2 linked regions of the Saccharomyces cerevisiae S288C genome follow. Changing the gene in region 2 together with the main gene of any one other region gives a genetic interaction. Each region holds a gene or a part of one and is shown on either strand. Other genes may lie near its edges.

What was found. A genetic interaction does not mean that the proteins touch.
Region 1: mutations in MNN2 (region 2) and BIG1 together harm fitness more than expected from each alone (negative genetic interaction), as found in Saccharomyces cerevisiae (3 studies listed by BioGRID).

Annotation. Positions count from the first base shown.
Region 1 is NC_001140.6:314,349-318,202, reverse strand, and holds BIG1 (Big1p), read left to right. Parts: upstream 1-2,234; coding exon 2,235-2,344; intron 2,345-2,431; coding exon 2,432-3,329; downstream 3,330-3,854. Other genes in the region: putative serine/threonine protein kinase KIC1, read right to left, coding at 1-1,631; GEP4 (phosphatidylglycerophosphatase), read left to right, coding at 3,530-3,854. UniProt on the Saccharomyces cerevisiae protein: Required for normal beta-1,6-glucan synthesis.
Region 2 is NC_001134.8:267,189-271,473, reverse strand, and holds MNN2 (alpha-1,2-mannosyltransferase MNN2), read left to right. Parts: upstream 1-1,970; coding exon 1,971-3,764; downstream 3,765-4,285. Other genes in the region: KAP104 (Kap104p), read left to right, coding at 1-527; cysteine-rich palmitoylated domain-containing protein CPP1, read right to left, coding at 841-1,227; glutathione-disulfide reductase GRX7, read left to right, coding at 4,138-4,285. UniProt on the Saccharomyces cerevisiae protein: Alpha-1,2-mannosyltransferase, responsible for addition of the first alpha-1,2-linked mannose to form the branches on the mannan backbone of oligosaccharides.

The DNA of each region.
Region 1 (3,854 bases), on a different chromosome or scaffold from region 2:
AGGTGTGGTCGCATTTTATTATTATTGATATTTCCGTTGACCTCGTTGGATATTGAGGGAATGAAATCATCTCGTGAACTATTACCAGCATTTAGAGATGAAATGGATTTGCTTATTTTAGGAGCTTCTGTATTGACATCATTTTCAGCAGTAATAATTTCATTGTCTTCAAAAAGTTCAAGTAATTGTTTTGGAGCCTTACTTTCCAGCCTCTTAGATGATGTCATTGGACCGGCCGTATGTGTTCCAGAGGTGTTTGTAGTTCCAGCTACCATTTTGGAAGGGTATTTTGAGTTCGTATAGTTATTTGTTACTGGTGCATTCAAAGTAGAATTTTGAGCTATTGTACCAGGATAGCCCTTTCCTATCGTTGTCCCTTGATAAACAAAGGGTCTAGTATTATGACTTGTAGGGTCAAAGTAATAAGAATCTTCGTCAGGGTATGCATAGTTGAACAGGTCATGTTGGGCAGTAGCCCACTCGTTGTTGTCCTCAGCCAAAGCATCGAGGTTGATATTATTTTCAATAATATAATCCGACGAACTCAATGAATCAAAATCCCATTTCATTTCCACATCGCCTTCGTTCACTCTCTTAATTTCATTATCATTTGATGCTATTGACTTTTGTGCTTCATCACCCCCGCCATTTTGTGATGGTTTTGGAGCTTCACTGGGTTTTGATGGCTCATTTTCCGGTATACTGCCCTCTATTTTATATTTGTTTTTATTCTTGTCCCTAAATAGTAGATATCGTGATATTAGTTCTTTCAAAATGGACGTTGGCGTCGCCTTGTGGGCCCTGATAAATTTTGATTTTAAAAGATCGTCTGCTGACAATCTCTCCTTTGGATCCTCATCAAGACAAAGCGCAATAAATTCTTTCAAAGATGTACTGTATGATCTGTCCTCAAGCCTCGGTGGTTTCGATTTGATGATTAGTTGCATTGCCCTTAGGGCCTCCACATCGCAGTATGGCGGATTTCCGGTGGCAATCTCGTACGTTGTAATACCTAAAGACCATATATCTACTTTAGTGTCGTAATAAACGCCTTCCATGATCACTTCTGGAGCCATCCAGTAGGGGGTCCCAGCCATAGTTTGACGTCGTAAAGAAGTTTGGTTTACTTGTGCAGCGACACCAAAATCGCATAGTTTAACATTACCTTCGTTAGTGATCAGAACGTTTGCTGCTTTGATATCTCGATGAATGACGTTATCTTTATGAATGCATTTTAATGCTACAAGCAGTTCTCTCATAATAACCCCAATGTACTTTTCATCGATTTTGCCTGGCCTTAACAACGAACGCAGTGAACCACCAGCGCAGTGTTCCATTATGATCCAAAGGCTTGTGTCTTTCAAATACGACCCATAATACCGCGTGATATTGGAAATCTGTTTCAAGGAGGCCAAAAACTGAATTTCTCGCTGCACATCCTCCACCTCGTCAGAATCAGAATCTAAATTTAAGACTTTGATAGCATACACTCGTCCAGTCTTCACGTTATAGCCCTTATAAACCACACCAAATTTCCCTCGCCCAATAACTTCCGTTCTCTTGAAAAGTGAACTCACATCCATCTCTCCTTCGGCTAAACCCTGCTTACTATTTTGTGGCTTCGTCGTCATTACTGCCTGTTCTCTATACGTGTTTTGCTTGCCAGTCGATGGCGCCCAAATTTATACTTTTTGTTTCTTTATCTGTGTACTGTTAAAAGTAGTACTGTTAAAAGTAGTAAGCTCCTTAGAAAGCGGTTCCGCCTAATAGTTCCTAACTTGTTGTATGTGGCTTCACGTAGGACGAGTTGCCTCTGTTCTTCTTTGACTTTTGCCACGTCGGCAAGCTGCTGCTCTTGTTGATGCCTTTAAAGATTGTCAGATCGGCCTGAGATCGACGTGTGGCATGATAATGTTGCTCGATGGGCTGTAAATAGATAAGAAAGAGTGAAACGAATAGAGTAACGAGGCCACAGATGTGGCGAAACCTGGGAGGATATGTTCTAACGTTATCTAGAGTTCTGATAGAGCATTGTATGCGATAGTACCGCTGACATATGTGCATTCTTTAATTATATCGATGATATCATGCAACACGGGTTAGCTCTGTAGTAATGTAAACCTCTCTTAACTACGGCCAAGAATATCAGCAGCGGAGGTTAAGTTGCAGGTTATACCTATCTGTTTTGTAGTTAGGAAACGTAGGCGCATACTAATTAGGAGTAGCAAGGCAAGATGCAAACTGTGTTGAAATATTTGTTGCTTATTATGTGTGGAAGCTTTTGTGCTTCGGAGGAATTGCAAAACCAGACCAATGTTCCTGCAATATTCTTCTCTTACAAACTGTATGTAGAACAAGAAACATTAATCTTTAGTAACTTTCATTTTTCTTACTAACTAGATGTTATACACATATTTGTACTTTTGGATAGAACTCCCGGTATTTTAAAGTATCAAGAGGATTATGATAGGGCTGTGACTTTACCAAGAGACACCTTTATTGAAGCGGCTGAGAAATTCTTAGGTGTATGTAATGCTGACACTTATGTGTTTATTAATCAACCAGGCCTGAGGAAATTGGACTTCTTGGAATTTGAAACAGAGTTTGTTTCGTTACAGAGATATATAAGACGGAGTTCAACCGCGATTAAGTTCGAAAAGGTAGACCTATTGCCTCAAGATTTATACTATGATCTTGCAGAGTTTGTAAAGGAGTATTGTAACGTAGACCAGGTGTTGAACTTACGAGGTAATAATACAGAAGATTTCCAGCCCTTTATTGATAGCGAAAAAAGAGTGATTATAATAGAGTACCCTAAGTTACCAGAGGACACTAATGAACGTAAAGAAGCATTCCGCCATTATGACAAGTATTTGAGGACTATACTGGCGCAGATTCCGTCGCCAGAACAAAATGTCATTTACACCTCGTTAAACCCAGGAACTACGCTGGCTCACGAGTCGATCATCCCTATCCAAATATTTCCAGATATCTTTGACATAAAATCCAGAGTGGGTGAAGTGGAACAAAATAATAGAGTTTTGGATGTGCCTCGTCTGTCGTTTAATGACTATACTCCACGATTTTCAGAGCCACCTTCGGAGTATGTCTCAATATTTGATTCACAATTAATTGAGAATAACAGAGGTTTATTACAGCTGATTTTCACAATTTTGGTTGGGTATATTCTTATTCAGTTTTTTTTCACAAAAAAAACTATTGTAGATGAGAAGATTACTAATAAAAAGGACAACGTGAAACAGACGTCACCACAACTGCTCAAAAAAGTGCAAGAGATCCAGAAAAAGCCATCCCAGCAAGTATCTTGATTATGGTTCGTTATATACATCGATTCTTTGCAAAATTATCCATGAGAGACTTCGCGCCATGCTACAATTTACCAATGCGCATCGAGAAATTTATGCTATCGCATTTAATATGATATAATTATCCGTCTGTTTATATATATATATATATGGGGCCAAACTGAAAGGCGGCAGTTACATTACATCGTCTCCTCTACCTAGTCATGAACATCAGTGGCACCTTAAATACGCTCCGGTTGCTTTATAACCCATCACTGTGTAAGCCTAGTCTAGTTGTCCCCACTTTTAACGATCTTCCTATACCAATCCACGATTCTATAAAGGCCGTGGTCTTGGATAAGGACAACTGCATCGCCTTCCCTCATGATGACAAAATATGGCCAGATTACTTGCAACACTGGGAAACCTTAAGGTCGAAATACTCTAACAAAGCACTCTTGATTGTTAGCAATACCGCCGGTTCCAATTCTGATAAGGACTATTCGCAAGCAAAACTTTTGGAAGATAAGACAGGTATACCTGTTTTGC
Region 2 (4,285 bases):
TAATGCATAACGACGATAGTGATGGTACTCCTGCTGTGATAAATGCGATATGGGCGCTTGGTTTGATAAGCGAACGTATCGATTTGAATACTTATATCATTGATATGTCTAGAATCATTCTAGATTTATTTACCACCAACACACAAATCGTAGACAGCTCTGTGATGGAGAACTTGTCTGTGACCATCGGAAAAATGGGGCTAACACACCCTGAAGTTTTCAGTTCTGGCGCATTTGCCAATGATTCCAACTGGAATAAATGGTGTTTGTCCGTTAACGCATTGGACGATGTAGAGGAAAAGAGTAGCGCGTACATGGGTTTCCTGAAAATTATCAATTTGACCAGCACGGAGGTCACAATGAGTAATGATACCATTCATAAAATTGTTACGGGCCTTTCAAGCAATGTAGAGGCGAATGTTTTTGCGCAAGAGATCTACACCTTTTTGATGAACCATTCTGCCCAAATTTCTGCAATAAATTTCACGCCCGATGAAATCTCCTTCTTACAACAGTTCACCAGCTAAAATTTTTTTTACTGTATCCTACGTGTTTGTATAGTTTGGTACATTATTACTAGTGATATATACATAGCACAATTCGGAAAAAAAAAAAAGGTGCATAACTGCAAATGGATCACATAGAAATGAAAATAGTTATAAAAGTTACATATAATTAATAGACGTATTACATACATGCTTAAAGTGACATGTTAAAGTTTTTTTTTTTATCTCCTTGTGAAAAAAAATAACACTGAGGGGAAGAAAGGCAACTGCAAAGAACAGAAGGGGAGATTATTCTTTTTTTTTTTTTCATTCTTGAATACTTTTGCGGGTTCTCTTAGAATAGCATATCCATGGTGCAGCATATACATAATGCAGCCAGACATGCAGCCAGACAACCTTCGTTACCCCTCTGGGGTGGTTGTTGTTGGACGTAGACTGGTTGTTGATGGCCTTGTTGGTTATATCCCTGCTGGTTATATCCCTGCTGATTGTAGCCCTGCTGATTGTACCCTTGCTGATTGTACCCTTGCTGATTGTATCCTTGTTGGTTATAGTATCCGGGATGCTGCTGCTGCTGCTGGTAGTACTGCTGCTGTTGTTGGGGTGGGTATCCACGCTCCTGAGTTTTGTTCTGATGAGCGGATGAAGGTGGCGGGTTGGAGGGACGGGAATATTGGCTCTTCTCGCCGGCGGTTCCGCCGTAGTAATCGTTAGCAGACATGGTGGTTGTGTGTAGGACTATCTTAAGCTTACTAGTGAGTCTCTTCAATGCTTGTCTTGAGAAGAGAAAGAGCCAGAGGGGGATTTTGGAAAAAGCCAAATTGACATACTTTTATAGCTTCGGCCGCAGCAGAATGGCTGAAGAGTAAGAGGGCGCAGAGCGGCTGAGCGAACCCGTCGGGCGCGACCAGCCGATAGTAGCACAGTAGAATTTTAGAAGCATTCGTTATCAGGCCGATGTGTGCAATTATTGTAGGTCTGCAGTAACGTAGCTCTACTTTTTCGCAGTCCCGTAGTTTTAAAACTTTTAGTTAATCAGGTGTGAGGTGGAATGAGCGATGGCACTATGTCGGGCAAGGCAGCTTAGCGCACAAGTTAAGCTGGTGCGCTCAGAAGTTGGAGGGTTCGCTAAATAGGTTATGCAAACATGCAAGTCAAGTGAGTCGCCATTGGCTCGCTTGGTGATTAGGTGACTCTAATACATCGTCCAGGACCCGTTATTACCGTTCACGTGCTAAAAAAGGATCGCGTCCTTTTGCGGAGGGATGAAAAAGATAGTGAAAAAATAACAATGAAGAAAAAAAAAATATAGAAGAATCATCAAAATAAATTACGTGTACTTGGTGTTGCTTATACGTTAAAAGCAGAATTGCCCTACTTTTTAATATCCTCGTGCTGCTCAAGGTATCATATCTACTTCGAGACAAATCAGTGTAGGTAGGTCAGTAAAATTATATTTTCAGTATGCTGCTTACCAAAAGGTTTTCAAAGCTGTTCAAGCTGACGTTCATAGTTTTGATATTGTGCGGGCTGTTCGTCATTACAAACAAATACATGGATGAGAACACGTCGGTCAAGGAGTACAAGGAGTACTTAGACAGATATGTCCAGAGTTACTCCAATAAGTATTCATCTTCCTCAGACGCCGCCAGCGCTGACGATTCAACCCCATTGAGGGACAATGATGAGGCAGGCAATGAAAAGTTGAAAAGCTTCTACAACAACGTTTTCAACTTTCTAATGGTTGATTCGCCCAAGGGGAGTACTGCAAAGCAGTATAACGAGGCATGCTTATTAAAGGGTGACATTGGAGACCGTCCCGACCACTACAAAGATCTTTACAAGTTGTCTGCTAAGGAGCTGTCCAAGTGTTTGGAACTATCTCCGGATGAAGTAGCAAGTCTGACCAAAAGCCATAAGGACTACGTAGAGCATATAGCGACTCTCGTCTCGCCAAAGGGTACGTACAAAGGGTCCGGTATAGCCACAGTGGGTGGCGGGAAGTTCTCCCTTATGGCATTTTTGATCATTAAGACTTTAAGGAATATGGGGACCACGTTACCTGTGGAAGTCCTGATCCCTCCTGGTGATGAAGGTGAAACTGAGTTTTGTAACAAGATTCTGCCTAAGTATAACTCCAAGTGTATTTACGTTTCAGATATTCTACCACGAGAGACGATTGAAAAATTTGTTTTCAAAGGATACCAGTTTAAATCATTGGCCCTTATCGCTTCTAGTTTTGAAAACCTGCTCTTACTGGATGCTGACAACTTCCCCATCAAACCCCTAGACAACATATTCAATGAAGAACCATATGTGTCTACGGGCTTGGTCATGTGGCCCGATTTCTGGAGGCGTACAACTCACCCATTGTATTACGACATTGCAGGTATTGCTGTGGACAAGAAAAAGAGAGTTCGCAATTCTCGAGACGATATCACCCCACCTGCTGTTTACACAAAGGATTTGAAGGATTTGAGTGACGTCCCGCTAAGTGACCTAGACGGAACAATACCCGACGTGTCTACGGAATCCGGCCAACTGATGATAAACAAAACGAAGCATTTGGCTACGGCTCTTCTATCTTTATTCTACAACGTCAATGGACCAACGTGGTACTACCCAATATTTTCTCAAAAAGCTGCTGGTGAAGGTGATAAGGAAACTTTCATTGCCGCTGCAAACTTTTATGGTCTATCATTTTACCAAGTTAGAACAAGGACAGGCGTTGAAGGCTACCATGATGAAGACGGGTTTCATGGTGTAGCAATGTTACAACACGACTTTGTGCAGGATTATGGCCGTTACTTAAATGCTATGGAGAGCATTGGCAACAAATACGGTGGCACTAAATCAGCTGATGCAATCAAGTTTGACAAAAACTATTCCCTCGAAAAATACACCGAAGAATTTTTCGACAACGAGGACTTAAATGCCAAGAATCATGTAGATGTTATGTTCATCCATTCAAACTTCCCAAAGTTTGACCCATACGATTTATCTAAAAGCAATTTTTTGACTACGAATGGTAAACCTGCTCGTTCATATACGGCCTTAAAAAAGGTAAAAAATTACGATATTGAACTAGAGAATTTCAAGGTTTTAAACGAATATGTTTGTGTTAATAAGAATCCTTTCAAATATCTCGATGACCTTTTAGGGCAGGATAAAACGGAATGGAAAAGAGTGTGTGGTTACATCACCGATAGATTAGCATTTTTAGAATCTACTCATGATAAGGCGATTGCCGGTAAATAATATGCAACGGGTCGGACTATAGTTTGGACAACTTCCATTGGCGTTTTCTACATTCTTATTACTATTCCTTACATAGTTATGTTTATTTATCTTCCAGTTATGTAAATTTTTTCCTTCACAATCCATATAAAATGACTTTACTACAGATGTATAAATATGCAGTCCCGGGTGTATTTGAGAATCGAGACTACGTCATACCGGTAAGTGGGACTGCGTTTTGAAAAAAAATAAAGAAGTACTTTCGGCAGGATATTTGCCAATGTGTACATATCCCCTCAGTGAAAAAGCTCGAATCAAATAAAAGAAAAAACCTATATATTGGAAAGAAGCAAAATTTTCAAATTAAACGCAAAACAACTGAAGAAAATTAGAGATGGCTATTGTTATAAACAAAAGAAACGTGAGAGTCTTGGTAATAACTAATTTACTGCTCATTGTTGTGTTTTTTGTGTTAAGGAATTCGAATGCTAGCGTCAACGAAAGTATTACTACTCACCATCCTGATTCATTGGTGACGTTTG